4 linked regions of the Lonchura striata genome follow. The protein of the gene in region 1 interacts with the protein of each later gene in a pairwise test. Links are inferred from orthologs where the notes say so. Each region holds a gene or a part of one and is shown in the gene's direction. Other genes may lie near its edges.

The links.
Region 2: the proteins of EXOC1 (region 1) and SFR1 interact in a two-hybrid assay, tested with the Homo sapiens proteins (2 studies listed by BioGRID and IntAct). The link is inferred for Lonchura striata from reciprocal best matches to the Homo sapiens genes EXOC1 and SFR1.
Region 3: the proteins of EXOC1 (region 1) and EXOC2 interact in binary tests that used the Homo sapiens proteins (3 or more experiments, as listed by UniProt). The link is inferred for Lonchura striata from reciprocal best matches to the Homo sapiens genes EXOC1 and EXOC2.
Region 4: the proteins of EXOC1 (region 1) and CCSER2 interact in a two-hybrid assay, tested with the Homo sapiens proteins (2 studies listed by BioGRID and IntAct). The link is inferred for Lonchura striata from reciprocal best matches to the Homo sapiens genes EXOC1 and CCSER2.

The regions. Positions count from the first base shown.
Region 1 is NC_134606.1:27,480,281-27,488,026, forward strand, and holds the start of EXOC1 (exocyst complex component 1), read left to right. Parts: upstream 1-4,741; 5' UTR 4,742-4,854; intron 4,855-4,887; exon of another isoform or gene 4,888-5,046; intron 5,047-6,675; 5' UTR 6,676-6,685; coding exon 6,686-6,809; intron 6,810-7,644; coding exon 7,645-7,746.
Region 2 is NC_134609.1:21,116,156-21,123,051, forward strand, and holds the start of SFR1 (swi5-dependent recombination DNA repair protein 1 homolog), read left to right. Parts: upstream 1-3,881; 5' UTR 3,882-4,239; intron 4,240-5,686; 5' UTR 5,687-5,706; coding exon 5,707-5,802; intron 5,803-6,878; coding exon 6,879-6,896. UniProt on the Homo sapiens protein: Component of the SWI5-SFR1 complex, a complex required for double-strand break repair via homologous recombination. Acts as a transcriptional modulator for ESR1.
Region 3 is NC_134603.1:95,192,836-95,200,469, reverse strand, and holds the start of EXOC2 (exocyst complex component 2), read left to right. Parts: upstream 1-4,625; 5' UTR 4,626-4,707; intron 4,708-7,634. UniProt on the Homo sapiens protein: Component of the exocyst complex involved in the docking of exocytic vesicles with fusion sites on the plasma membrane.
Region 4 is NC_134609.1:4,658,440-4,665,879, forward strand, and holds the start of CCSER2 (serine-rich coiled-coil domain-containing protein 2), read left to right. Parts: upstream 1-4,424; 5' UTR 4,425-4,510; intron 4,511-5,222; exon of another isoform or gene 5,223-5,407; intron 5,408-7,440. UniProt on the Homo sapiens protein: Microtubule-binding protein which might play a role in microtubule bundling.

The DNA.
Region 1 (7,746 bases):
CTTTTTAGGCAAATGATAGAGTTTTCAAAGTTAGAATAATGAGAATTATTTTCGCCAATTTCTAGCTAAGTATAAGCATGTTCAGTGCACTACCGAAAGACACATTAGTACTTAGAGCTACATTTACTATGGGGTGGAGTCTTGATTGCTTGGAACAGCTCACAAAATGTAACAGCTGGACTTGTGTTAGCAGTATACTATGGTAGAAACAGAGGATAAGTGGCAGCTGTGTTGAACAGAAGCTGAAGAGAACAATGTTAATGATAAGAAGCATGGTGTCACCATCGCTGACACCCAGTGTCAGTCAGCTAAGTTAGCTGGCTGTTCATCCCATAGTGAATAAAAAAATGCCGACCCAAAGTAAGCTCCATTCAGAGAAGCTTCTGGTCAGAATGTCCTGCAGGAGAAAATTCTTTTTCCTTTGGTAGCCAAGAGAGACCAGGAAGGCAGGCTGTGGGCTAAAGCAGGTATGGACCTGGAGCTGAGATATCAGCTGCCAGTAGATCACAGGCTGGTTCATATCCTTGCTCATCTCTAACATGGGATATCTGTGCAAGGGTACTCTGCTGTACTTGTGGCTTGGACTTTGTCTTTCATGTGAACTCCCACCTTTGAAAACATTTGTGTAAATGTACTTTGAATTCAAAATTGAAATAATATCAAATAAGTGAGAATATATTTGAAAACCTGTAAAAATTACAGCTTTCTACTTTTTAAATGTTATCCTATTGTGTTTATATAGAAAAGCCCATACCTTTTATTAGTTAATATTCAGAAGTTAGATATTTATTCTAGGCATATATTGCAAATTACGTTGGTTCTAACACAGGTCTTAGTAATTATTACTGTACAGTAAGACAGCTGTGAGGGCAGTTTATGGGTAACAGAAATCCTCTGGCATTTGTAAGGTCTTAAATTTGCCACCGAAATACTGTTAGAAAGAAGAAATGTAATTTTAGTGTTTGTTTGCATAATACAGTTGTTCTTTGGAGAATGTCTTTGGGATAATCCAGTGTAAGTGGGCATGCTGTGACATTTGATTATTAGCTACAAGAAGTATTTGCCCAACATCCAGGTTCCACAAAACCATCTTATATAGGAAGTAGAATTCATGCTACTGCTATCTATGATACATTGTCTTGTTTGAATTGTGTGTTGATTGTTGAGGTCACAATGTTTTCCACAATATTTACAAATTCTTTCCTTAATAGGCACAAGGAAATGTTTTCTGGCTGGAAAAGCTTTCATCATTCAACTTGTAATTGTTAGAACTCTAAAAATGCGCACTTCAGAGCATTCCTTTGAAATAAAGTACATGTATACTGAATTCTTGCCCAGTAATTGTGTGTATCATTTTAGAAAATAATGATAGCTAAAAAGCTAATATAATGTTCAACCATATTCAATGGACTCCCATTGGTAGTTTATACATTTTTATTCTTGTGTGATATAAACATGTCATGAACTATATTGAAAGACACAAACCTGCATTTTCTGTGGAAGAATATGGAATTAAAATATCTGGCATCTCTTCTTTCTGATAATGTAGTATTTCAGACATTCTTAATTGAGTAGTCAGACTGAACAAAAAAAAATGGGAAAACCAGGGACATTGTCCATGTAAATTATTTCAGTTACTATAAAACGGAAGAGTTTAAAAGATCTTTGTGGACTGAATCTAGGGGCTCCTTACTTTCACACAGTTCTCTCTAAGATGCCAGTTACCAAGACTCTGTAATTGCCTGATGTGCTATGGGAAGTCTGAGGGACACTATCACTTTGTGGTGAGCATAGCGTGGCTGCACCACAGGACACAGAGAATATGCTAAATAATGAATGGAAAAGATCTAACAGGCTAAACAGCCCATCTTTCAGTTAATGCAAAATTATTTCCTACATCACATTTCCTGACCTTAGGTAAATGGAATGTAGTTGGAAAAAAGTATCTGGGGATTAATCTAGTTCTCCTGGAAGAATTCTCCAAAACTGACAAGGAACAAACTGAGGGGAGTAAAGGATTATAGGAATGAATCTGTAGCATTCCTATAAACGGTTTCAACTACATGATTAGAATGAATATGTGAGGTTGAGGATATAATGCAGATTTTCTTCAGAAGACATTCTTCAGAAGCAATTAGCCAACTCTGTTCCAGACAGAAGAAAATACATGGCAGCCTGAAAATGAAGATGAGTGATCATAAGCAGACAGAAATTCATGCTCACATAACAGGCAGAAAGGGAACAGAGGCTGTCATAGAAGACAGGTGATTTTTTAAAGGTATTTATCTTAAAAACATCGGAATTAAGACTACGGGGAAACCTATGACAATAGATTTTATTTAAATTTTATTTATTGAGAGCAGAAATACTCCTCTCCTTTGAATTTATTTTTCATGGTTAGCTAATATTTTCTTGCATCCTCAATTAAGGAAATGCAGATCAGTGTGGAATTTAAAAAAAAAAAATGGCAGTGAAAGAGAACAGGGAGCATGTTCTAGACTGTGCCTTCTAGGTTACTTCTCATACTTCTTCTCCTTTGTGTTTTGGAGTCATACCTATAATAACATACTTCTTTCCAACACAAGCCTATATTGCTTTCCCTGCCAGCTACCTATTTCCCAATGCTTTCAGTCACTTTCAGCATAGAAATCTTTTTTCTAGTAAAGTGAGTGATTGTATTCCATAATTTTTAATATGTAATTTAAGAATATATTTTCATGACTTAAAGTCAGTATTGAAAGATCAAACACCCTTTCTAAAGAGCATTTGTGGAAGAGCATCTAAAGTAGGAGGGGAGAGGATGGCACAGGGTAGATAATCTCATATCAGTTTTTATGTGTAAACCCATTTTAGCAGTAAAAAGGGCATTTTAGTGTGGTTTCCTTTTTCTTTTAGCATAATTAAAGCTAAAAGTTAGGAAACTAGCATTCTCCCTAATAACAACAGCTTTATGGAACATTGTCCAGTATTTTATGGCTGCCTTGTCCAGTCTTTATAAATCTAGACAGACATACACATTTTGTGGCTGAATTGAGAAATTATCAAACTATAACTTCTATTTTAACCATGGCCCTCGTGAATGATATATTATAGAATCATACAGCATGTTGTTTTGTAAGTGAGAAAACAAAAGTACATTCAGCAAGACTTAATTGGTCAGTCATATTTAATCACAGAATATTCTGGGAAGCGACATGCAAGGATTATCAAATCCAGCTCTTAAGTGAATTGCCCATATGGGGCTCAAACCCACGGTGTTGGTGATGTTAACACCATGCTGTAATCAACTGAGCTCATCTCAATTAATGCTCCTGATCAAGTAGAAATATGATACAGGAATTACAGAAACACAGTTCTACATGTTAGAAATCCACATACTGGAAATTTAAAACAATTCCTTGGAAAGGATGTTTTCTGTTTATTGGTGGTGGCCTTGCAAATACATTTTATCAGATACACACTAAAATTAATAAATTATATACAATTTAAGTAATCTGGAATGATTTCAGTCTATCCTTAACTCTGCACTCCATTACATTAACAATGCTAAAAATTAGGTAAGTGTATTGATCATGTGGTGAACCTCTGTCACAGTGAAGGTAGTTCCAGTTTCCACAGAATTCATCAATGACTACAAGTAGCTATAACCAATTTGGACATCAGTTCTCATGCTAAATCCTAAATCTAGTCTCAGCATAATTTTCCTATTTGGATTATCACTGACATCAAAGACTGCCAATTAGTCCAGATTCTTCTACCTAGGAGCAAAGCAAAAATCTGACTGCTGTCCACAGATTATGAATATGAACTGAACATGAGCCAGTGAGTGCCCAGGCCAATGGCACCCTGGCCTGTGTCAGCAATAGTGTGGCCAGCAGGACCAGGGCAGGGGTTATCCCCCTGTGCTCAGCACTGGTGAGGCCTCATCTCCAGTACTGTGTTCAGTTTTGGGCCCCTCACTTTCAAACAGAAATTGAGGTGCTGGAGTGAAGGGCTGCAAGGCTAATGAGTGGTCCAGAAAACATGTCCTGTGAGGAACAGCTGAGGGAGCTGGGTTTGTTCAGCCTGGAGAAGGCTCAGGAGGGACCTCCCTGCTCTCTACAGCTCCCTGAAAGGAGGCTGTAGTGGGGAGGGCTTTGGGCTCTCCTGCTGTGCCTGCAGTGAGAGGACAACAGGAGACGGCCTAAAGCTCAGACAGAGGAGATTCAGATTAGATATTAGAATTTCTTTTTCACTGTTAGTATTGTCAGACATTGGAATAAGTTGCCTGGATGGTGGAGTCACTCTCCCTGGAGGTGGTCTAAAAGTGTCTGGATCTAGTACTGGGTGATAAGGTTTAATGCCTCAGGGGTTGCAGTGATAGTGCTGGGTGGATGGTTAGACTTGATGATCTTAAGGGTCTCTCCGACCTTGCTGATTCTATGAAGTGACCTTAGTCCTGATGCTGTGGCCAAATGGAATTACAGCATGCAGTCTGAGCTGGACACTGTAATTCAAAATTGTAATGCACTGTATGTTCTTTAAGTACCAAGTTTATCTGCATTTCTTCTGTGGACCCATTTGTCCCCTAACGGACCAAAACCCCCTCAGTCCTCTGCCGTGACGTCACTGGAGAATGCTGACGTCACTTTGGGGGCGGCAGCTCTGCCCCGCGCCCGCCGCGCCCACTCCTCCCCGCCAGGGGGCGCTGCGCGGGCAGCCCGCCCCGAGCCGCGCGCCGCCGTCACGAGGGCGGAAGCTGCGGCGGGAGCGCCGCGTCCTGCCCGGCGCTTCCCGGCCTGGCCCGGCGCTTCCCGGCCTGGCCCGGCGCTTCCCGGCCTGGCACGGCGCTTCCCGGCGCTTCCCGGTGCCGCGGTGAGAGCGAGGCGGCCCCGGCACCCTCCGGCTCTTCCCCCGTCCAGGCGTGGGGCTGGCGCGGTGCTCCGCGGGCCGGCTCGGCCGTGGCCGTGCCTCCGGCTTCGGGGCGGGGCCGCTTGTGCGGGACTCGCAGGTGGGAGGCGGTGAGGCGGTGTCAGACGGGCCCTCGGGAGCCCGCCGCTGCTCTAGGTAGCTCTTCTGAGGTTTTTCTGTCCATTTGTTGATCTTGTGATTGAGTTCCGGCGATGCTGTGGTTGGGCTGCGTTCTGTTGTGGTGTGTTCTGAGCCGGTGGGATGCGGGAGCAGCGTCTTTTCCTGTTTGCGCCCTCAGAGAGGCCAGGCAGTGCTGAGCAGCTTTACCACGCTGCCATGCCCCGTCTGGCGTGTATTTCCTGGACAAGCCGCGGCTGGGATGTCATGTCTCGAACAAATTTCATGTAGCCTTTGTTTGGCTCATTACAGGAAATGTTTATTTCCAGCTTCTTAGGCTGAATTCTGTGTTCCTTTGAGGCAGCAGGATTCAAGTGTGAAAAGCTTAATTTTGTGCTTGGTCCTGGCACACTGTGAATGTTTTGGTGGCTGTGACTAAAAGAACTGAGTTTTTAATTCAGAAGTTGAACTGTTTATGAGAGCCAGTCTTGGATCTTGGATTTATCATGATGTGGGAAAGGTGTACTCTGCCTAACCTGCAGTACTTGTGATAGCACTGAAATAGGAGAGTTAGCAATTTGTAGTAGCTTGATTGTGACTTAGAGCAGAAAATAAAATCCTAAATAAGGAAGGAAAGAGGCATCTGAATTTGAAATATAGCAGATTATTGGTATTTTGTGTGTTCATCTTATGCATCTGTTGAAGAGTAACACGAATGGTGACCTGGTACAATTGGGGAAACAAAAGGTGGGCCCAGCATTTGATGAAGAGAAGGAAAATTATTAGCAGCTATGGAGTGGTACATTGCCATAGGGTGTCATTTAAACAGCATGCCCTGAGCGCTGTTGACAATACTGTTTTCACTTTGGCATCGTGGCCTTGTTTTCACAAAGTTCTTAACTTTCTAATCTTCAAAATTGCTGTAGTGCCCAAGATTTTGTCTTTTCTATGGGTTTATCAGAGGAAACAACTCGGGCATCTTCAAGAGAACAACCCAACCTGAAATTCAACTCTATATATTGTCTCAGCATCCAGCAGTGTAGTATGTTGTGTGTACTAATCATGCTTTTTTAAAATGAACTGTAGAATTTTAAGGCACAGATAATATTGAATCTTCTGTATTTGAATAAAAACGCTTGAATGTGATGTGTAATGTGTTTCTCTGTTCAGTCTAGATAAAATCTCTAGTGTGAGGCACTGTTCTTAATCAAGTAAATATTGCTAATTCCTTAATTTTCTGGAGCTTGGAGAGGGGTTTTTGGTTTTGTTTTGTTTGTTGTTTTTTGGGCTTATGTGATTGAATTCTACAAGCTTGAGTATTGGATGGTCTTTTTTTCCTTGGTTCCAGTTTCAACTTTATTGAATGCCTAGTATTTCCCTCTACTACAAAGAAGCTTTTTGTACTCCATTAATTTAAGCTCAAGAATTATCCAGGTATTAATAAATTACAGTTTTCTAATTGAAACAAGTAAGGTTTTTGTTTTTTTTTTTTTCCTAAAGTGGTCTGGTCTTCTACCCAAGTCATGCCTGTCTAGATTACAAGTCATTAAGTTATCTATAAAATTGGATTTTAAAATCCTGTGGTTACTGTAAGTACATGACAGGTTCTTTTCTCGTGCGTCTGGTAAATATGCTTGAGTTTATTTTTTACCTCCTAAAATCTTTCAGCTGAGAGAAAATGACTGCAATCAAGCATGCTTTGCAGAGGGATATTTTCACTCCCAATGATGAACGTTTATTGAGCATTGTGAATGTGTGCAAAGCAGGCAAAAAGAAGAGGAACTGCTTTTTGTGTGCCACAGGTATATATGAATACCACACTATATTTCTTATCTTCACCTTTGTTTTTTCTTGGTTGCATTTGTTTTAGCTTTATGTACAATTCTTATTCTTGACTTGTATAAAACAGGTGCTTTCCATTCCTAATGGAGAAAATTATTTATAACTTGTACTTTCATTATTGCTTCTACTAAAAAAAGAAGCAAACCCCACTACTTTTATTCACTGATCTCATTGTAATTTGAAAGGAAAGAATGAAATAGTATTCTCTAGGGACTGGTGGGCTTTTGAAACAAGCTTTATGTAGTGCTTAAAACAGGGTTTAGTAATAATCTAAGCTGATAAGCCTAAATAAAATGCTTTAAAGAATACTGGTTAGAGACCAAGGAAAGGCACAGCAACTGCATTGAGTTCTAATGTTCCTTGAAGTGTATGTTTATTACATTTTATCTCTTTAAAAAACTAGGTGCTTTGTGTTGATCTGTCAATAAATTAGCTTGCTAGAATATTTTTTGACTGAAAAATGTCTGAAAATGTTTTCATTCTGACTGTACTCTCCAGTTATGTCTGTGCTATGTCAGTTATGTGGTCATGGTCCAAGATCTGCTGCATCAAAGAAATAGCTGAAAATTGGGGTCATTACCTCACAAGCTGTATAGAGAAGTATACCTGTTTGGTTGAGACTTAAACTGAGTTGCGGTTATTGTGGATGAAAAGGTTTCAAAATGTTTCTTTTCATCAGATAAATGCTAACAAATCTCCCCCACAGATAATTTGTTTGGGAAGTTGAAGTACAGCAGACACAGATGTGAAAGTAGTATGTGTGTTTTGAAATGACTCTCTTACTTCATTTAATAGTGACAACAGAACGACCAGTGCAAGTGAACGTGGTAAAAGTGAAAAAATCTGACAAGGGAGATTTTTACAAAAGGCAGACTGCATGGGCACTTCGAGACCTTG
Region 2 (6,896 bases), on another chromosome or scaffold:
GGCTCTTACATTATCTTTTGTAATGGCAAATTGCAGTGCCCCTCAGCTACAATAAATCCCGGAAGGTTTTATTTTCAAGACAGCTACCTCAAAAATTGCAAGCCAGAGATATAAAGCAGACAAAGGCAAAAAAAAAAAAAATTACTTTTGGTGTAGTTTATCCTGATGTCATTCTAGAGACTTCACTTTTAGTTACTGGGCACTTGCACCATTATCAGAGCAGAATCCATCTCCCAAGGACAGGTTTTGTTGTAGTAAACTGGTTTTACTCCAGCTGGTTTATAAAGTCCTACCCTTGGTGTATTTACACGGCCATTAGCAAGTCAGAACACCTTTCAGAGAAGTGAATTGCAGACAGCCAAATCACAGCCCTAGGCTGATGCAGAAGTGGGTAGGGTTTTTAAACTTTCTGCAGCAGTTAGTGTTTAGGCACATAAAAGCACCCCACCCTCGTGCCCCAGGCAAGAGAGAATACTCAGACATTGCAGAGTGTACTTCATGCATCAGGATACATCGCTTGGCTTTAAACGAGGTCAACAGATTTCAGAAAAATGAGAGAAGGGGGTAATACATATATGCCTTAAAACAGTATGCTGACTAACATCCCAGATACTCAGTGGCAATGTTTAGGGGGAAAAGGCCTGGTTGTTGTGCCCAGCAAACTGTTAAATGGAAGTTTTATGATGCTCCTGACACTCTGGAAGACAAGAACCCATAAAGCTTAAACTGGAGTTTCTAAACTCAGAGCCAGTATCCTTTTTTATTACTTTCCATTATGACTTTGCTACTACAGATGATGCCCACAGAGGAATTAAAACATGTAATTGTCCTGAGAACACTGCTGTGTCAGCCCCAGTGCTCCAGTGCTGTTCTGGTACCACAAGATTATTGAGAGGGTACATGGATAATATCTTTCACTGTGTAGCCAAACTGGTGTACACTTAGAAGAAAAAATAATCTGATAACTAAAATGTCAATGCAGAAATGCCAAAGAAAATAGAATCAAGGAACACATTTTGGTTCCTCGGGGAAACTAATATCTTTGAAGGGAAGTGGTATGTTCAGCAAATAGAGATCAATAATTTTATTACCCAGTGCACAGTTTCTTACACATTTTTTTCAATTATTTTGCTTACCCCAAACTCTTCTGATCACAAGAGGAAGCAAAGAAATCAAACAACAGCATTGCAGTGCTTAATAAACACTATTGCAATGAATGTGCTACTGTGTGCACATACTGGTAATCTTAACTTAACAGCAAGAGAAACACTCTGCAGTGTGCCATAAACATGCCAGGATCAATGACACATGGATAATCTGTTTTCCTCAAGGAAAACAGATGAGCAGTTTTTGAGAGGAAGTTTTCAGTCTGACTCTGGTTTGCCAGTTGTAGAAAACATAATATCCATCACTATTGTGTTTCTGCAATAAACATATTGGATAGTCACTGCATAGTGCTTGATGGCACTCTAGTTCCCAGCTCTGCAGGAGCTCCAGCCAAGTGCTGGGCGAGTCATGTTTTTGCAGTACTGTGTAAACACCAGGTAAATTCATAGGAAAATGGAGTAAACACAGCTAAACAACACTAACCTGAACAAGATCTTTTTCTAGAGTCATTGCCCATCAATGAGTACATGACAATATTTCCTTTCCTCTACTCTAGATGCAGCACACTAAACTCACACACCCAACACATGGCACCATTGTTCCAAATTCCCAGTCCCAAACAATCTGTAATCTCACTTGGGGTGGGGCATACTGGCGTTGCTCTAATTAAGTACAATGATAATGCACAGGATGACTTTTTCATGTGTTATGTTCATGTAAAATCTTACTGGAATCTCACCTGGCAAATGATCTAAAATCTCAAGCTTTCTGTTGTTCTTGTGCAACTCATCTGTTAGCATGTCTGTACAACAGAGCATGAGTAATTTAAAGTAGGGACCATCCTTGAGATTGAAGGAAATACCCTGTGGTCTTGGAGACATGCCATCACAAAGCTCCAGAGCATCCAACCCTCTTGATAAATTTGTAGCACTTTTGCTGTTGCACTCAGGAGTCCATTTTTAACATATTTAAAAATTAAAATATCTGCAACATTAAATTAGCTGAAGATTTAAAAAAAAAACAAACCTCAAAACCCAAAAAAGGGGCAGATTTAAAAAATGCTTTCAAACTGCCTCAACACTTGGGGTATTGTTCAGCAGGGTTTTTTTGGTAGATGGTTACAAAACATAGTACAACACCACATAATGTAAATTCCCACATTTGCTATGAAAATATTATTTCTGAATCAATTTCACCCACAGATAAAATCTTATACAAGGTGTATAAGTTATATAAGTTGTATAACTTATACAAGTTGTCAGATTTCCAAAAACAACTTGTAGATGGGCTTTGAATGCTTTGATACCTTTTACTGTAGGAGAGTAAAAGGTTGCTATCATTCCTGTCAAATACTCTTTGAAGTGTGTGGATCTATGAAAATTCATGGTCAAAACTGCAGCAACTGCTAACACGTTATCACACCTACAACACTCAGTGCTTACGCATCTCTTACCTCCAAATTGTCTCTGGTCTCAATAGAGATGGGAGTTACACAAGGTGAAGAGAAAATAGTGTCCTTATCTGTAGCAGGAACCAGGCAGGAAATTAATGCAGTTCTGACACAGAAGCTAAGGGCATGATCCAGCGAGAGCATGTGGGTGCCTGTACCCCACGTGCTGCTCTCAGCACAGCTGCGTGAGGCATCAATGCACAGCTCGGGGCAGTTCAGCTCTGGGCAGTGCTGGAGGAACCACTGGGACATCATCCCTAAGGGCTGGGAGCTGTTGTTGTTATGGCTTCCTCAGCTCATTCTGTCAGTTCTGACAGTTACAGCTGAAAAACGTTTTGTACAAATCAGTTTTGAGAGAAGTAAATCCACATGGGGAAGCCAGGTGTACAGCTGACAGCAACAGGAAAACCACTCTTCAGCAGTGCCTTTGAGTGTAAGGGAACTCTCCAATCCTGAACTGCACCGTGCAGCCACAGCTGGGATTGCTCCTTGTACAGTCACAATCTCCCTATTTCTCCAGTCAAATGTCTTAATTTTCTCTTCTTTCCCACAACCATGACAGTGCTGCTCAGGTCACACGTCTCCCAGTGAGTCCTTCAGTTACACTTTTTCCCCTTATGTGAGGAGATGGTTTCTGGGATAAAGGCTTTTGCAGCTCGAGGTGGAGAGTTGTGGCTCCCTTGGCTGTGCTGTGCTATCCGTAGTGGGGAGCACTGCACACTGAGGCAGACCGACCGCCCTCCCTGGCACAGGACACTTGCAGGGACATTTCTTATCGTTTCTTATCCCTGGCAGCTAGGCCAGGGAAGGTTTAGGTTGGTCACTACGAAAAATTTCCGCATAGGAATTGTGATTAGAATTGGATCAGACTGCACACGTAGATCCTGAAGTCACCACCCCTGGAAATGCATAAGACTGAACACAGCACTTGATGCCAGGGTCTAGCTGACATAGTGGCGCCGGGTCATAGGCTGGATTCGACGATCTTAAAGAACTTTCCAGCCTGATTCTGTGAGGTGACACCAGGCCTTGATCCAGACCCCAGCCATGGCGTGGCCGGCCCACGCTGGCCTAAGGGACACAGCACCGCCTGGCATGCCTAGATGCAACAGGAAAGTCTACGAGGTCCTCGGAGACGCCTCGCGTTTCCCGGGAGCGGGAGCGGGACCTCCCTCAGGCTCCGCGCCCGCCCCTCAGCCCCAAGCGCCGCCCGGGCACGCGGGGCGCGCAGGCGCGGCCGCCCCTGCCCGGCGCGGGAGCTGAGGGGGCAGAGCGGGCACAGCGGGCAGAAGCGCCGCTCCGCCCCGTCCTTCCTCCTCCGCCCCGTCCTTCCTCCTCCGCCCGGTCCTGAGGGCTCTGTGCTCCCCGAGGGGCCTCCCTGCGCTCCTCAGCCCCGAGGGCCGCTGCTGTGGCGGCGATTTTGGGGTGCCGCGCCTCAGAACCAGCTCCACGGGTCTGTGGCCCTGCTTATGGGCTGCACGGTCTTCGTCCTGCTTCTCTGCGGGGGGAAAAGTAGCAAGGCAAAAGTTTGAGTGTTAATAGTATTGTGTTAATAGAGTGTTTAAAAGTATTGAGCCTTTTGTTATTGAGACAGTAAAAAGAGTACGTGCCTTTATATAACGTAGCTATAAGCAGGAAAACAAAGGACGTAGTTACAGACGTACCCAAAGTGCAAAAGTCAAGTAAGTACTGAAAAGTAAAATTGTTTTTTCCCCTTCTAATTCAAATTTTCTTTGCTTGCTGGACACAGTTTTTTGTGCGGTGAACAGCATTACTGGTTGAGAATGCCAAGGATTCTTAGCCGAAGATACAGGAAAAGGATTTTAAGCGTGCAGGAGATCTGTGAATATGCTGCCAAGTAACAGCATTAGCAAACGACTGGAGAAAGTATTTGTTATGGTCATTTAAAAGCGAATTTGCATTAGAAAGTAAAGGCAGAGAATCATAGGATTGCTTGGGGTTTTTAAAGTTATCTCTTAGGCTTAAAATTATTTTGCTCCTTGGAAAATTCTTACTATCTTTCATATATATATACTATATATAGTATCTTTGATATATATATATATACTATATATACTATCTTTGATATATATATACTATATCTTTGATATACAGTATACATAAGAATGTTGCTTTTTCTAGGCTCTTCCTTACAAAAAGAAATAATAGTATTAAACTTCCATTATATTTAATGGATGCTGTGGTTTCCTGTTTAATTGATAGATTGCTAAAATACCAAATTAACTAGACTCCTTACTAAGGTCTGGGTTTTTATAATAGAGTACCATATGTTCAGTTTTGAACATCTGGGGGGAATGTTGACTTCTAAGATAAATGAGGCCCTCCATCCTTTGGTATCAAGCCCAGGGTTGCTGGGCTATTAAGGCTTTGGCATTCTGAAGCTTTAGCAGTTTTCATCTGTGAGGAGGAAGCCCCTTGTGCCAGCCCTGTGTTGCCTAGTTGTAATTCGCAGGATTTTATTCTTGAGAGGCTTCTGTTTCAAAACTGGTAATTGCAATTTGCAGGTGAGTGGAGGTATAACTGTTGATTTTCCAGCTGCATTCTGGTCATTAGTAGGTGGTTCACAATTGCTAAATGAAATTAAACATTGCCAAATCGATTTGAAGTTGGTTCGTGCTGGGAGGTGTGACTTAACCATTTTAATTAAGGCACCTTTCTGAGTGAGCTTGGGATTTTTCCTGTTAATCAAAACTTCCACCTGTGTGAGTAATTACTTTTTAAAGCAGGATCCCCAGAAGGATCACATGAGACTGGATACCCAATTATATTGTTCTATAGAAAAGATTGTTTATATTTGTGGACAACAAAAATCCTTCTGGCTCCACAGAGCTTTTGGAGCAAGGGGAAGAATAATATATACAATGGATTGTGAATGACTTCATGGCAGTTAGTTGTGTCATGGATCCTCTCAAAGAAAAGCTGTTCACAAAGCAAGATGCTACTTAGCACATGAAACAGTTGTGTAACTTAGCAGATGTCCTTTTTGAACATGCCAATTAGAAAAGAAGCCTTAAAATTTCATATTAGAGCTTTTTACTAATTTCTGCAGCCACATGGCTCATTATAACAGGTGACAATGACACCATAATTCATTCTGTCATTTAACAGAGACAGCTATTTATCTCGAGATGGAAGAGTCAGTGCTGGATAAATTGCCATCTTTGTGCAATACTCCAAAGGATTCTGGGCCAGCACCTGCACAGGGCACTAGTTCAGGGAAACAGGTATGAAAACTTCCTACTTTTCCAATAATGTGATTGTTCATAGTAACAAAATGCTGGTGAAATCATCGAGGAGTCAGAAGTCACTGAGATGCTGCTTGCTGGAAGGCTAGAGACAGGCACCTTATACCTCTAGCTACAAGGCTGTGCAGGTAATAATGTGCCTGGTGTACTTTGCTCTGAAAATGCAGATGCTTGCTGTGTGTACAAAGTGATGGAGCAAGTGATGGCCTGTTAAGAAATTTAAATACTATATAGGGTGTGTGATGGATCTGTCATCGGTTTTCTCAAATCCTGGTTTTCTGGGTTGCTGTGCATGCAGGATGACTTTCTGTGACTTCTGCCTGCAGTGGAACAAAGTACAATGCTTTCAGTTTGTGTATTATCCATAGTGCTGAGCTCTGCTTTGGTCTTATCCTGGGATGCGAAATGGTGATACTGCAGGCTTGGTTTGAGAGTATTCTGTAACTAATTCCCCCCTCTTGTATTTTAGTGCATTTCTATAAATAAAAATGTTAGACACAGATTATAAAAAAAATAGTTATTTTGAAGAAAAAAAAATGTTTTTAGATGCTTGTAAAGTATCTCAAAGCATGAACAGGTCAAAATTATACAGGTATTTCTAATATGTTCTAGAATACAGATGTTTTGTACTAGTTCTAATGCAGATGAATGGGATGGAACAGCAGGAAAGTAACCCTTACCTCCATTAAACTAGAGGGGAAATTGGTAGAATAAAATTATCCAAGTTGAAATATGCTGTATTTCTTTTACACAAACACTAGATGAGTAAGTTTGCCTCAACAGAATACAAGATTTTGTCCAAGAAAATGTGGAGCTACACCTTTCCGTATCTTGCAGCTGTGTGTGCAAATACAAGTGAAAGGAAGATGTTAAATTTGTTCAAGTTTTTGAAGGCTATACAGACAATTAGGAAGTCTGGCTTTACAATGATCGTTAAATATATTACATATTCTATGTAAATAATAATGATTGGTAAACGGTGATTTGAGATTTGATAAAAATTTAAGAATATTCTGACCACCTGGCTTTTCTGGGTTTATTTATTATTTTTTCAGCAAATGAGTGCAGCTCTG
Region 3 (7,634 bases), on another chromosome or scaffold:
ACTGATTTCTAGTTCAGAAGACACGATATGGTCATGGAAGCAGCCCTCTTAATTTCAAACAGGCTTTAGGTTATGTACACACAGGAAAATAGAAGATGGTGAGTTATAAATCAGATAGGTTCCTTTTTTGGCAATTGTGAAGCAAACCATCTGTATGCATTACAAGATGGACAAATAATGATGACCATGGATTTGTCAAGAACAAATCCTATTAAACCAATAAGACCTCCTTTTAAAATAAGGTAATAGGTGTTACACAAAGGAGAGAAGTATTAAAAATTCATATATCTTCATTTTAGTAAGGCTGTAGACAATGTTTCTTGTGAATAAGCAAAGACAATATGGTCCAAATTGAAAGCTCCATGGTGTAAGAAAAGGCAAGACTATTTCTGAGGAAGAGTTAGCAAAATGGGGTCATTATCAAAAGGAGAGATGTATTGAAAGAGGTTTCTCAAGGTATCTGATACTCTTTATAAACATCCAAAGAATGGAGTAGAGACTAAGCTTGATACATTTGAAGAGGACATGAAAAAGAGAGCAAATAAAAGAGTGTTAGAGAACAGAATTAGAATTCAAAGGGAATTTGACAAAGTGGTTATGAGGAGATTTTTTTTAAGAAAAATACAAAAGATGGTATTCAATAGGTGCAATAGACATAGCATCATCAGTTCCCCAGATACAGGATGGGGAAAAGTAAACAGGATTATAGTTGCCTGGAAAAAATGTAGAGTGAATCACAGGCTAAGCACGAGTCATCACTGTTATGCTGTTGTAAAAAGGAAAATGGGATTGAAACAGGGAAACAGCCTGCAAAATAGGCAAAGCAATTATTTTGCTCTGCTACCCCATGGTACAGCTTAAATTTTAGTGGTTTGGGGTAGGTTTTTTTTTTAAGTTTTTCATCTGAATCATGCTTGGCTTGGGGAATTGTGCTTCCAGAATGACACTGGGTGTCTGCAGAGGAGTGCAGGGGAGTTCAAGCTTGATTACCAGTCCAGACAACATTAAATATCAGGCTATTAATGGGACAGTTTGTAATAATGAGGCAAAGAAGATACAGGGTCTTTAAATATGGAAAAGACAGCTACAGGGAGGAAGCAAAGAGTCTGTTCTCCAGGCCAGGAAAGACAGACTTTTCACTAATGGACTTAAATTCCGGTAGGGGACCTATTTAGAACATACATTAGGAAAAAAGACCTCTAGTGATAAGGGTAGAGAAACACTGGGAAAAATTGCCTGAGGAGATGGCAAAAGCACCATACTGAGAAGCCTTTAAGAACAAGATTTAAAAAGCAGTTATGTTGCAACAAAAGATCATGTCTTGGGGCATGGAAAATAACAGGAAAGGGGGATTTCTTAAGGTCATTTTCAACCTTATGCTTCTTAGGATTTTCCTGTTCCTCAGATTTCCCTGGTTATAATATTCACCTCACAAATTTAAACAAGAGTAGGAGAAGGTCTGGTTTGGATGTTCACATGTCAAAAAAATTTAGGCAACAGCTGTAAGCTTGAAGGCATTCAGAAAACAGTTCTGGAAAGGCACTTATACAGTGCAGAATCAAAGTTAATCCATACAGTTTGTTAAGAGAAGGTGAAGGAGTAAATCTGCTGCATTTCACAAACATCTTCAAAAGGAAGATATTTCTGTTAACAAGAAGCAGGCTTGCAATGGACAGATGCTGCAGCTAGATGAATTTACCTTTTCAAACAACATTTATATTTCAATCAAGTTTTTTTTACACATTAAGGTAGTGTGGTACATGTTAGCATAACCACTGAGAAATCTTCAAAAGTGCAATGATGGATTGGCCATTTCTCAAAAATAAATAAATAACAAATTTTATTCTTTGAAATAAAATGAAGATGCCTTTTTTAAAAAAACAGCTACAGAAAGACCTTGCTGTGGGAATGGCTGGAGGAAATTCTACAGCTTTCAATATTCAGGTTAGACAAGATGATCATAATAATCTCTTTGGCTTTCAAATCTGTTTACCTAACTTTGTAGAGAGATATAATGTTTACAGATCACTGTCAAATCTGCAGAAATGGATTAGAAAAAGGCATGAATGAGCAATTACTCTTGTGACCTCTATGAGGTATAACACTTACTATTTACCAGGTCATTACATTACAAATTGTCACTTCTTTCCTCAGTTTTAACTGCATAGATTAATCTCTTTAACAGCATCTGGAGTTCCATAGAGTAATATATTTATATTAGCAGCATTATATATGACAGCAAATATATACTATATATTATGGTATATACATCATAAGTTATATATATATGACAGATATATATTTTTTTTAACCACACTAATTTTCTTCCTTTTGTTCCAAAGAGATATGCGGGGTAGTGTTTCTTTTCTCCAGAGGGTCACATCTGCAGTCAGTCACTGTCAGCTTTGTTCTGGTGTCACTGAAGGGGTAGGTGATGGTCACTAAACATCAGCTGGGGAAACCACCCACAGCAGATTCAACAAAGTGCACCACACAGGAAGTTCTGCATTGACAGTATTATCCAGGGCCCTATAGATCATATGATTCCTGCATGCTGCTTGTGGAAATAGGAGGATTTGCCTGTGTGGATGCCAGTGAAGAAGGTACACAAGTCATTTATAAGGCTTCTGTTCTTGCAGGAGTTGTGCTGTTCTGACAAATTCCCAAGGACCATGATCTGCATAAAAATACTGCTGAGAAGCCTTTTAGAAATAGCAGCTTAAAATCTCTAAAGGCTGGGTGATATTTTCACAAGCAAAAGATCTGTCAGCTTGTCCTCACTTGGGGGCTTAACACTGGAGAGGTTGACACTTTTCAAGTTCATGTTCCCTCTTAATGATTCACCTATTTAGGGTCTTTTCACTTACAACAGAGGTGAATATTCGATCAAATCTGTAACCGAACTATAGTTTGGCACTGAAATTTATCACTTGAACTAAATCTAAACTCATGGTTGTTTATTACAAAACCTTCTGGGTACATAGTTCCCTTTATGGACTCCCACAAAAGTCAATGGGCTTTTTGGGCACAGGTGTCCCCTCTCAGAGGGCACTGGGCTGGGGCCCAGGTATGCAGTGTGCTGGGTGGGGCCTTCTGAATCCACCAAACCTCTCAAAGAGTGGTTTTCTTTGGCACATCTGATGACAGGCATTCAATGAGAAAATTCAAACAAGCTGTCATGGAGAAAAAATATAATTTTGAACTGGGTGGCAAACGGTTGCACTTTTTTTTAATATTTTATTTCTCTCTTTTCTTGGAGAACCAAGGAGCTCTTTTTATGTATTGGATCTCAGCAGAAAACCGCAGTAACTAGTTATAACTGCGGAAACTTATAGAAAAGACAGGTACCATCTGCTTTTGTTTTTCCCCAGAAAGATATTGCATAATGTTTTACAGAGAAGAGGAAAGAGTCAGAAATGTATTGCTTATTCATAATATGACATATTCCAGTCTGCTAATTTAACCTGAGCACCTTTAACCTATGAAAGCAAAGTTAGGAAGTGTGTGGGGTGTGGCCACACATTTTTTTTTATGGTGCTTTTTATGGTGCTTTAAGGTTTTATGCAAGGTAATTTGCCTTCCCATTAGTATCCTGCTTTGGCCTGGTTTGGCATAACTAGGAATGGAGTCTTCCTTGCTGGTGTGGGTTTTTTTTTTTTTTTTTTTTCTTTCATTGCTTTTCCTCTCCTTCCCAGTAACCTTTTTGTCTGAATGTGGCTTTTGCAACCAAATACTGAAGAATACCAACAAAGAGTGAAAAAGGAAATCTCCTGAGTCTTTCCATAAGGAAATGAACTTGTGTTCAGAATTCCCATAGGCAGCCTGTGGTTTTGGAAAGAAACATTTTTACTGGTTTATCATGAAAGGAGGACAGATTTATGTCACCTGGGGCTGACAGCACTGCTTGAGTATTTGTGCCTGGGCTTTTGCCCCCCACCCATCCTTCTGCACCTCCCCTCACAGAATCACAGAATGGTTGGGGTTGGAAGGGACCTCTGGAGACCGTCCAGTCCAAGCCCCCTGCAAGGCAGGGTCACCTGGAGCAGGTGACACGGGAACATGTCCAGGTGGGTTTGGAATGTCTCCAGGGAGGGAGACTCCACGACCTCCCTGGGCAGCCTCCCTCACACCTCAGGCTGGGAGTCCCAACACTACTGCTGGGCGAGTCTCTGCCTATAGGCGCAGTGCTTGGGGGTGGTTTTATTATAATTTATTACTTTTGTTCACAGAATCACAGAATCTGCTGAGCTGGAAGGGACCCATAAGGATCACCGAGTCCAACTCCTGGCCCTGCACAGCGCCGTCCCCAGAGTCGCCCCACGCGCCTGAGAGCATTGTCCAAACGCTTCTTGAGCTCTCTCAGGGTCCTGTCGCTGTTGTCACTGCCATAGTCAAGACTGTTATAATTAAATATGTTTTTTCTTCCCTTGCTCCTCATCCACGGGAGAACCGACCCCCATTTTCTCCGGGGGCCCTCAGGAGCCCCGCGCAGGGCCGGGACTGAGGGGGGGAGGCGGGCAGGGGGCGGGGCCTGCCGGGGGCGCGGCTCCCGCCGGGGCGCGGCTCGGGCCCGGCGGCCTCCCCCGCCCGCCTCGGTGGCTCGGCGCTCCCTCGATGCGCTCGGGCGGCGGCTGGCGGCGCCTGCGGGCGCGGGGCGCTGCCGGGAGCGGGGCGGCCGCAGGTGCCGGATGCGAGCGGCGGCGGGCGGTGAGTGACCGGCCCCGGCCCCGGCCCTGCCCCGGCCCCCGGCGGGCGCTGCGGGGCAGCTCCGGCCCCTTCCCTTTCCTTCCCCCCCCCCGCCTCCCCGGGGCGGAGGCTGCCCCCCTCCCTTCGGTCTCCCCCCGCCTTCCGCTCCCCGGGCGGGGTCGAGCGTCGCGTCCCCGCCCCGGCCCCGTGGGGACGGAGCTGTCGGCGACGGCTCTGGCGGCTCAGGGGGCGTCGCTGGGCTCCGGCCGGCTCCCCCCCGGTGCCTTCCCGGCTGCAGCAGCTCTTGCTCCTCCCCAGCCCCCTGCCGGGGCGCTGTCGGCAGGGCGGGGGGTTCCTGCCACCGGCGGCACTCGGTGTCCTGCCGGGTGACGCTCCCGGGCGAGGCCGGGCCCGGGCCGGGGAGCCCTTCCCAGCGCTGGTGGCACTGTCCCGGCCCCAGGGCCGGCAGCAGCGGCTCCGTGGCCTTTGCCTGTGTCTCGTGTGTCTGACAGCGGCCCGGGGGAGCGCCGGGCTGCACGGGCTGAGCCAGAGCTGCGCCAAGTCCCAGAGTCCATTCGGTTGGAAAAGACTTCCGACATCGTCCCGTCCGACCCGTGTGAAATGATGGGGTCGTTTGGCTCAGTGAAGTGTGGGTGTGCTGGGTGGGGGAGAGAGGAAATGAGCAGGGTAGAGAGGTGAGTCAAAGCTGGTTACTTGCAGGACTTGTTGAAAAGCTGGTTATTTTCAGGACTGATTTTATGTTTTGTTTTAGTTTTTTTCTTTTTTGGCTTCGCATTTAGTTATGCCATCAAGTTTCAGATATAGCTGCCCAAAATGAATGAGTACCTAGGCAAATGCAATACGAAAAAACAGGGTAAGGAGTGTGGGAGGAATCGAAATAACATGCTGGTTGAGAGATGGTTGCTTTCATTCTTCTGTCTGGAGAGATTACGCTTCTCTGAGACTTGGATTTTTTTTTTTTTTCAACTTCCTACACAGTGCTACATTTCTGCCTCATTTGGACTACCTTGCAGTCCAGAAGCGTCCATGAGCTGGGTGACCAAACATCTTTCCTCCTTGCCTCTTCTATTATCCTAATTAGGAACCTGAAAATGATCTCTTAGCAAGGTGCAGATGTCTGAAATTTGGGATGATCTTGTTCCCAGAGGAGAGTTTACCATTCTGCACAGTTCTACTGTTTTTTTAAATAGTCTTCCTTCTGCAATTTCTTCACTTATTGCAGGTTAACAGCTTCTAACCATAGACTCAAAAGCTCTGAGTCAAAAGCCAGTAAAATATTAAGCCATCCTAGCTCTGACAGAACATCAGATTAAACCTAAACTACAAATATTCATTGTTTAAAATGTAGTTAGAATCATAATCACGCTTCAGTTTTCCAGATTTTCTGATCATTCTTATAACAAGTAAACAGTCTTCTTTCTCCTTTAGTGATCTCTTTGCGTTTCACTGTTATAAACATTTTCTTTGTTTTTGCTTTTGATGTTTTTGTTTTGCTTATGGTGAAGTTGTCAGAACAGTTAAAGGACTGTAAATAAACAAACTTGTGGCTTAGAAAAACAGGTCTGATTTCTTCCTTTACATTTTGCTCACCTGAAGCAGGAATGCACTATAAATCTTATTTCCCTATTTTTATCGTATCTTATCCCAGCTTGCACTGACCTAGCAACAAGCAGCAAGAGGCATATCTTGTTGCTGATTTCTTTCCTATGGATAGCTTAGTGCTTGTGGTTTATGCCCACTCTTTGGACAACTGTTTTTATTTAGATGAAATGTCTGTTGTCTGCAAGGTCCTTTAAAACAGATGCGGTTATTTTCATTATACTGGTTGGACTTATCTGAGTGAAAATTATTTTAAGTTGTAATGGTAAGGGTGGTTTTCTCTATGGAAAACATATTTTAGGATGTGTCAGAGGTGAAGCAATTTAATTAAAAGATTGTTATCCATCAGACTTATGCTGGCTTTAAAAAAAAAATATAAAGTTGTCTTGTATTTTTCTGGTCTTCATTCAATAAATGAAAATGTTTTTACGGACTTGATGGTTTGTGGTTGTTTTTAATGCTCTAATTGCTTTTCATATTTTAGAGCTAAGCAGGTCTAGGTTAATGAAATTCCAAATGAATAATAAAAAAAAAAAGTAAAGTTCTAAGTCATGAACAGTAAAAGAAATCTAAAATGGTAGGATTTCTTGTGAGAGTGAGCATGGGTTTTATGCCAGCTGTTGAGAGCATTTGAGGCAAAACTGGACAGTAAAGATATGAAAATCTGTAATTTGCCAGTTGTTTTCCTGAGGTCCTATTAGAAAGAAACTGTATCCACTAATACAGTCCATTCTTTATTATGCTGCTTTTCCCAGAGAAGCTGGACTAAAGCAAAATAAGTAGGTTGACTAGAAAGGCAGAGGCCACTGACCTCATTTATTAATCAAAACTTTCAGATATGTTATGTTGAACCATACTTAATCAATTTCTTTCAATGCAGTGGTATATTTAGCTGTAAATTCAGTAAGTCTTAATCACTGTACTTGAAATTAAACTTAATCAGTTTTGAGTTATTTTAATTCTGTTTATTCTGCAATTTTCGGCTTTCCAACTGCACTTAAAAAAAAAAAAAAGCAAGAATGTAAAGATAAAAGTATTTCTCTTGAGAGGATGGTGACAGAAGAATGAATATAAAATGTGTTCTTAAAACATAGATTCTGACAACTATGGAAAATATCCATGAAATAATATATAGTTAGAGTTTTGTACACCAGGACAAAAGCTGTGGAGCACATGCAGACACTACCTGCATGTATTTTGAATGCCTGTAGGTCACTATTTATTTATACAAACAGGCAAATGAAACCTTCTGCAGGAGAAGTCAGAAGGACTTCATTTTATAGTCAGGGACTGGAAAATAGTACTCAGAGGACTGTAGATGTTACAGT
Region 4 (7,440 bases), on another chromosome or scaffold:
CTGAAACTGCAATGAACAGGTATTCATTTAAATATTACCCTATTAACTAAATATCATTTAGAAAGTGGTAGATAGCACTAAGGTCTGAAAAGATATCAAATCTTCAATTACTTCACTTGGATTCTTCTTCAAAGCTAAAAAAAAAGAAGGACTTAGTCTTAAATGTGAGAAGGTAAAAGTGTATTTCAGCAGAATGAGTTTGAGCTCACCTCTTAGTTTTCCCTTAAGTAAAAAGGGAAGAAGATTCATTGATGGGGAACCACTATAAAGACCTCAGCTTGCACCAAACTGAATTATTTTATTCTTATACAATTATTTGTTGCAGAATGGTACAAAGTTTCATTGCTTGTGGACGCTATAAATGGAAATAATACATATACACACATATGACCACACTCATCTCTGTGTGACATTAGCCCAATGCTTTCCTTCTTATCTCAGTAAACAAGTTAATAGACTTGAAATATCCATTTTAGTACATATTTTTAAGGAGGTACAAAAATGAAATTACGTGTATAGTTTAAAAAGTATAAGAAGTTGAAAAGTGAATAGGTAATTTTGGAGACAGTGACTCCTTTGTGTCAAAAGAAAACACGGAAAAATAAAAGGGATATATTCCTTAATTAAAAAAAAAATAAAATTTGTAGATACACAGATTGTGAAGATGGCTGAAAGTTTATTTTTGATGCCTGTTGATGAATGCATTTTACAGAATCATGAGACATTTTGAAATTAAGAATTTCAACCCCTAACCATCCAACTGCACGCACTGTCATATATTTAATGAAATATCCACCTAGACCCCAAGAAGCATATAGTTTCTAATTTTAACATCTGTTTTCCTTTTCTTGAATATTGGTGAATTAGTGATAATCCATGCTGCAGTATTTGGTAAAGTAAAATGCCCACAATGAATACATTATTACTTATATGTGGGGGAAAAAACAGTTGCATCTGGGTGCTTATCCCTTTTGAACTTGAAAGAATGCAAACCAAGAAAATATAGCTCATCTGTCAGACAGCATAAAATCTGAGTACAAGCAGAATATGTTTGAATGCAGTAACAGAAAGTGGATGCACAAAGTAAAAGTGAAATTTTTATGAACAGATGAATTTGCAGCAGTCACAGCATATGAGCTACAGAGCAAGGATTTTTGTATGGACATCATGGCAAAGATAATTTTTATGAAGTGATGCAGGAAGCAGACTGTCCTTGCTTTGAAGATAATTTTAACTCAAGCAGATTCACTCAGCTTCATTGTAATGAAGAGAATTACAAATAACTAATTCATATTTTCTAGAGTGTAGGGCTCTGCTACATGGTCAAATTTGAGAAATCCTTCTCTTCTTTTCCCTGGCATGTGAACTCTTGGGGCTGGGAAAATATTTGTGTAAATATCACTGATGGCACATCCAGCTCTTCTCGGGGTGGCTGGTGTCACCCCATACTGTGTCTCTTGTTTTGGAGGCAGCATACTGCCAGGGCAGTGAGTAAAGAGGATAATAACAAGCTTTTAGTCCAACTCCCAGCGTAATATAATGTCCATTTAAATCAATTTAATAGAGAATCAATTCAAGGTGAAGACCTCAAGCTGAAAACATCTGATAATAAACTGTTAGGAAAAGATACTGCAGTTGATCATAGCTGGCCCTCAGTCTGCAGTCTGACTGTAGGAGGGTTAACACCATTTCTTGAGGCAAACAGTCAGAATCTGGAGTTTTGTATGTAACGCTTCCTTTTTCAGAAACTCTCAATTCTGCTTCAAGACTGGATCTTAATCTTTAGCCTATATAAGCACACGGAAATCTGTTAAATGCCTAAACAGACAGTGGAAGTTCTCAAATCCATCCTAAAATATCTCTAAGTTGCTTTCTTCTTTTACATGTGTGGTTTTGTTTCAGAGCTCTGTTTCATAATTATTTCTGGATTATAAAAGCATGAGCTGGAGTTAAAAAATGTGGTTATACCACCACTTCCAGGTCAGCACACACAGCATATGTGCCTCCTTTGTGCTGGTTCCAAGTGCTCCTGGTTCTCTGATTTTTATTCCTTGATCTCACCCATTGTGCCTCAGAGATGTACCAGAGGAGTTCCACAATCGCTTCATGGGAGAGGACTTCAAGTACTGATGTTGAAGAAACACTCATCAGTGCCTGCAGAAAGGCAGTGGGAAATACAAATCTTCCAGCGAGTCTCTAATATAATTTCTTTAGTTAGGAAACAGAGAAGTAAGTTATTAGGAAGAAATTTTTATGAGGAATGGGAAAGTTGTTATGTTGTTTTGATGAACAAAGTAGGGAAAAATCAAATCTATGCTAATGCAGTTGATGTTCAGAAGCTGAGAATGACTGGCAAGAAAGGATGATTGTGTGGTTAAAGCACTGAGGCCTGACTGAGGAAATCTGAGTTCATTTCCTGACTTTGCTCTCTTCAGCTTTGAGCAAGAGATTTAATCTCTCTGCTTGCCCCCCCTTCCTGTACCACAGGAGAGTCATTTTACTTCAGATTGTTCTAAGAATAAATGCATTAATGTGGCTGGTACATTTAAGTTTAAGCAGAAAAAAAAAAAAAAACCACATAAAAGCTTCAGTTCTCATTCCTTCTTTTTCTAAAAAGGCCTTTCTGCTGCCCATGGGGCGAATGTACCAAAGTCTTCATGCCCTGTGTCTAGAAAGATGAGGAGGCACTTGCAGTGCCTGGGCTGACATCTGGGCACACCCAGTTTCTAGTTAAGAGGTGAAGAAGGCTTATCAATTACAGGGTGTTGGTTTTATTTCTACACAAATATACACCTGAGGTGACTGCACAGCTTCCTCCCTCTGGGAGGCCTGGCAAATCAGGCAGGCAAAAGCTTAGAAAAATTGGCTATTGAAAGTTTTGACAGAAAAGAAACTTTGAACACCCAGTGTTGAAGCACAGCAAATGAGATGGTGAAATGCTGTGGTAGTGTAAACACAAAGGCCCCAAACCAGGAGAGATGCGGAAAGACATTGAGGTGTAAATAATGGTGCAGTGATCTACTTCACTGGCAAGGAACTTCCTGAGCCTTCTGTCAGTGCCTTCTAATTCCTAGCACAGGCAGAAAATTTGAGGAAATTAAACTTAATTAATTCTGTGAGCACCGGCATGGAGAATGCCTGGTCTCCCATGGGTGACTGCAAGAGTCCTTCAGGATTTTTGTACAGCTGGGTCACCACCTTTCTCCTTTGAGTGCCTCTGCTGTAGTGTGGGCAGCAGGACCAAGGCAGGGATCATCCCAATCCCTGTGCTGGGCATTGCTGAGGCTGCACCTCGAGTGCTGTCTTCAGTTCTGGGCCCCCACTTTACAAAGGACATTGAAGGACTGGAGTATGTCCAGAGAAGAGCAACAAAGCTTGTGAAAGGTTTAGAAAATATATCTTGTGAGGAACAGCGAGGGAGCTGGGGTGGGGGCCATCATCACTGCCTGCAGCTCTGTGAAAGCAGGTTTACTGAGGTGGGGCCGGTCTCTTCTGCAGTGCCTGCAGAGAGGACAGGAGGAAATGGCCTTGAACAGGAACAGAACAGATGCTAGAAGACAGTTTTTTCACTGTTTGGGTGGTTGGGCACTGGAGTAGGTTGTGCAGAGAGGTGGCACAGGGACAGTCTCTGGAGGTGTCTGTCATCGGGATCTGGTGTTGGGTGATGGTTCAGGGCTTACAGTGGCCGCACTGGGTGATCTTACAGGTCCCTTCCACCCCAGACGATGCTATGATCGTACCCTCCCATGCCGCAGGGCCGGGACACTCGCAGGCCCATTCCTGCAATGCCTTCAACAACTCCCATTTGCCCTTGGTTCTGCCAGCCAGCTCGGCGATTGCTGGGGCAGGCTGACAGAGGCTTTGCCCGCCCGGTGGCAGCGTCACACGGCTGTGGTGTGGCGGTGTGGGGCTCGGCGGTGTGGGGCACGGCGGAGGGGGCGATGAGGCGAGGGGGGCGATGAGGGAGCCGGGGCGAAGGGGGCTATGAGGGAGATGAGGCGAGGGGGGGCTATGAGGGAGATGAGGCGAGGGGGGCGATGAGGGAGATGAGGCGAGGGGGACCATGAGGGAGCCGGGGCGAGGGGGGCGATGAGGGAGATGAGGCGAGGGGGGGCTATGAGGGAGATGAGGCGAGGGGGGCGATGAGGGAGATGAGGCGAGGGGGGGCTATGAGGGAGATGAGGCGAGGGGGACCATGAGGGAGCCGGGGCGATGAGGGAGATGAGGCGAGGGGGACCATGAGGGAGCCGGGGCGATGAGGGAGATGAGGCGATGGGGACCATGAGGGAGCCGGGGCGAGGGGGGCGATGAGGGAGATGAGGCGATGCGCCCCGGCGCCGCCGCCGCCATGGGCCGGGCGGGCGGGCGCGCTGACGTCAGGCGGGCCGAGGGGCGCGGGCGGCTGCGTGTTCCCGCCCCCCGCCCCTCCCTGCGCGGGCCGGGCCGGCGGGAGCCGAGGGCGCGGAGCGGCCCTGCCCCGGCAGGCGACAGCGGCCCGCGCCGTCCGCCGGTGAGTGCGGGGCGGCCGCCACCCCTGCCCCCCTCATCGGGGCTCTGTGCCGGCGGGGAGCGGCCGCCGTCCTCCCGGCAGCGCCGCCGCCCTGCGCCGGGGCGGGGGTCGCGGCTCGGCCGGGGATGCTGCGGCAGCGGGGCCGCGGGAGGCCGGGGCGGGGCGGGCTCGGCGCTCCCCTCGGCGCTCCCCTCCGCGCTCCCCTCCGCGCTCCCCTCCGCGCTCCCCTCGGCGCTCCCCTCCGCGCTCCCCTCCGCGCTCCCCTCCGCGCTCCCCTCCGCGCTCCCCTCCGCGCTCCCCTCCGCGCCGGCCGGATGCCGCGGGCGCGCCGCCGCCGCGCTGCGGCTCGGGGCAGCCGGCACGGCGGGCCCGGCGCCGGCGCTGCGGTGGTTTGTGCGCCCTGTAATTCGTGCTCGGGGAGACGCGCTCGCAGGTGCTGGGGGCAGCTGCTGCGAGCCCCGGCCGCCGAGGTGTTGTAGCGTGAGGTTTCGTGTCTCGAGGGTTTTAGTCTACGAAATGGGGAAGAAGCAAAAGCACCCAGTGTGTGTTCGTAGACAACAATTAAAAAAAAAAAACAGTAACGGTGGAAAATAATTATAATGGTGGCATTTCTACTTGAGCAGTGATCTGTTGAGATTTATACCAAGGGGATGTTCTGTAGGTTGTGGTGATTTCTCTTTAATGATACTGAGACTTTGCTTTCGTCACCCAGAGCCTGCTGTTCACTTCGTGCTCTGTCAAATGTACTTTGGCACACAATGAAACGTAGGCAACCTCAGCCTTTAACTTTGAGCTGGAGGAGGTCGAGCTGTTTATCTTCAGTTTAAGAAAGCAAAACTGCATGGGAAGTTTATGCTCTAGCAGAGCCGTAGTGTCCAGGCCAGACATCAAATTAAGGTAAGGATTGTCGATCTGGTACTCCGTCTGGTATGCTGTGTAAAGATGTAGAGCGCTTTTCAGGGAAGCTGGTGCATCTTGCAGGGTTAGAACTTCATATCTATAGCAGGTTTGTTCTTGGTGTCTGTGGGCTTTGAGCCTTGCTTTGGTGCAGAATAGAATTTTTTGCTGCGAAGGTGTTAAAAGTGAAATGAAGTTGAATCTTAAGTTCTCATTTTGTTACATTGAGAGCCACTTCATATATGTACCGAGACTTTAGTAAACTTCTATCTTCTTGGGTTAGCCTGAGGCAGTAAACATTTACATTGTTTGTTGATAATGAATGAAATTGGCAAGGTTTTTTTTCTCGTGTATATAATGATCATGTGCCTCTAAATTCTATGGGCCCATTTTGAATTATATGCCTCCCAGCTGAAGAGGTGATGGCCTAACAAATGGGACACGAGTAACCTAAATGTCAGCCAAGGATCTACGTCAATATCCAACTTAAGAGTCTAAAAGTTGTTTCTGAAGTTGAAGTTTACTTTCTGCTCCTATATAGTATTTTTCATTATAAAAATGTCAATGTTTGGACTCCAGAAACTGCTCAGTATTGTCTTTTAACTGTAAAGCTGTTGAAAAGGGTAGAAATAGTCTCAGTTAATATAATGATCTCATTTAATGTATTGTTATAGTAATGAGTAATCCTGTTTAATGGAACTGTTCATGTAAAAGCTTATTGGAGTAAAATCCGTTACTTTTGGACCTGATCATCCTTTAAGAGGGATTGGTTATTTGGAATAAACCAGTTAATGGGAAATGTTGGCAATGGGATCTTTAGATAAAAGGCTGTCATGCCATCAGTCTTGTCATGAACATTGCTTGCCTGGAATCCTTAGAAAGTGTGGATCTCTCAAAATGGAGAGGAGATGAAGGAATATAAGATTGCAGAATGTAATATGATAAAATATATCAACAGTGGTTGTGGTGTTCTCTTTCAGCCACTATTCACTGTAAACAGCAGCACCATCTTCCTAATTAGAAGCTTTCAGGCAGGGTTAAGTCCCGTGCCAACAGGGATGCTAAGGAGATCAAAATACTAATGGTGCTTTTGGTAATTAGGTTGAAAATCCTGTATTGTGTTTCAGTTAGAGCAATAAAAACAGATTATGTAAATCTCTGGATACCTACACACATGTACGTTACAGTAAAATCCCAACAGCTTTAAATAGTTATCTTAAATTTGAAGTTTGGCTAGTCAGGAAAGGTCTTTGCATTTCTTCACAGCTCTTGGACACACACCCCAGCTCACCTTAAACTGTTAGCAAGTAGGTGCATTTTCAAGATATTCTGAAATGTTGTTTCCTCCTTGATGAAAAGTAGCTGGATTTGCAGAGTTCTGGACTTTGCTCAGTAGTCATTCTCTCTCCTAAAGGGAGGATTCAGCTGCAGCAGTTCTGCTGACATCCTATAGGAATTGAAGAAAGTCTCCTCAGGGTGGGGGTTTTGCTTATCCCTGGTCACATGGGGAACTGGTGTCGCAAGTTCTTGCTAAAATGCCTGTTTCACTGCAGATTGTTGGGTTTTTCAGGAGCACTTAGTCTGTGCTAAGCTGAGGTCCTGCTCTGCAGAGTGCATTTTAATGGCCTTTATTGAAGAGGTACTGGCACTGCTGGCAATGTCCTCACTGCAAGGAGGCTTGGCTTCTTAGCCAGAGGAAATGGTTGATAAGGATTTACTTTGATGAGGTGGCTAAACAACTTACAGATCAGGAATAACCCTTAAATTGTAAATAATATCTGCAATTATTCCCTGAAGCCTAAGAAATTCTGTGCTTTTAGGCTAATCAGCCCAGATGGCTTGTGACACACACAGCACAAGGAAGCATCCAGGGAGAACTGCATGTCCCAGCTTCTCTTGATTCAATTATATGTCTGCTTTAAGCTGGAGATTCAGAAATCTCTTCTAGATGGATGCAGAGTTTATCACTACACTATGGATTTGGATGATAATTTGATTCACACTCTTTTTGTAAGTTGTTTTAAAGATTTGCT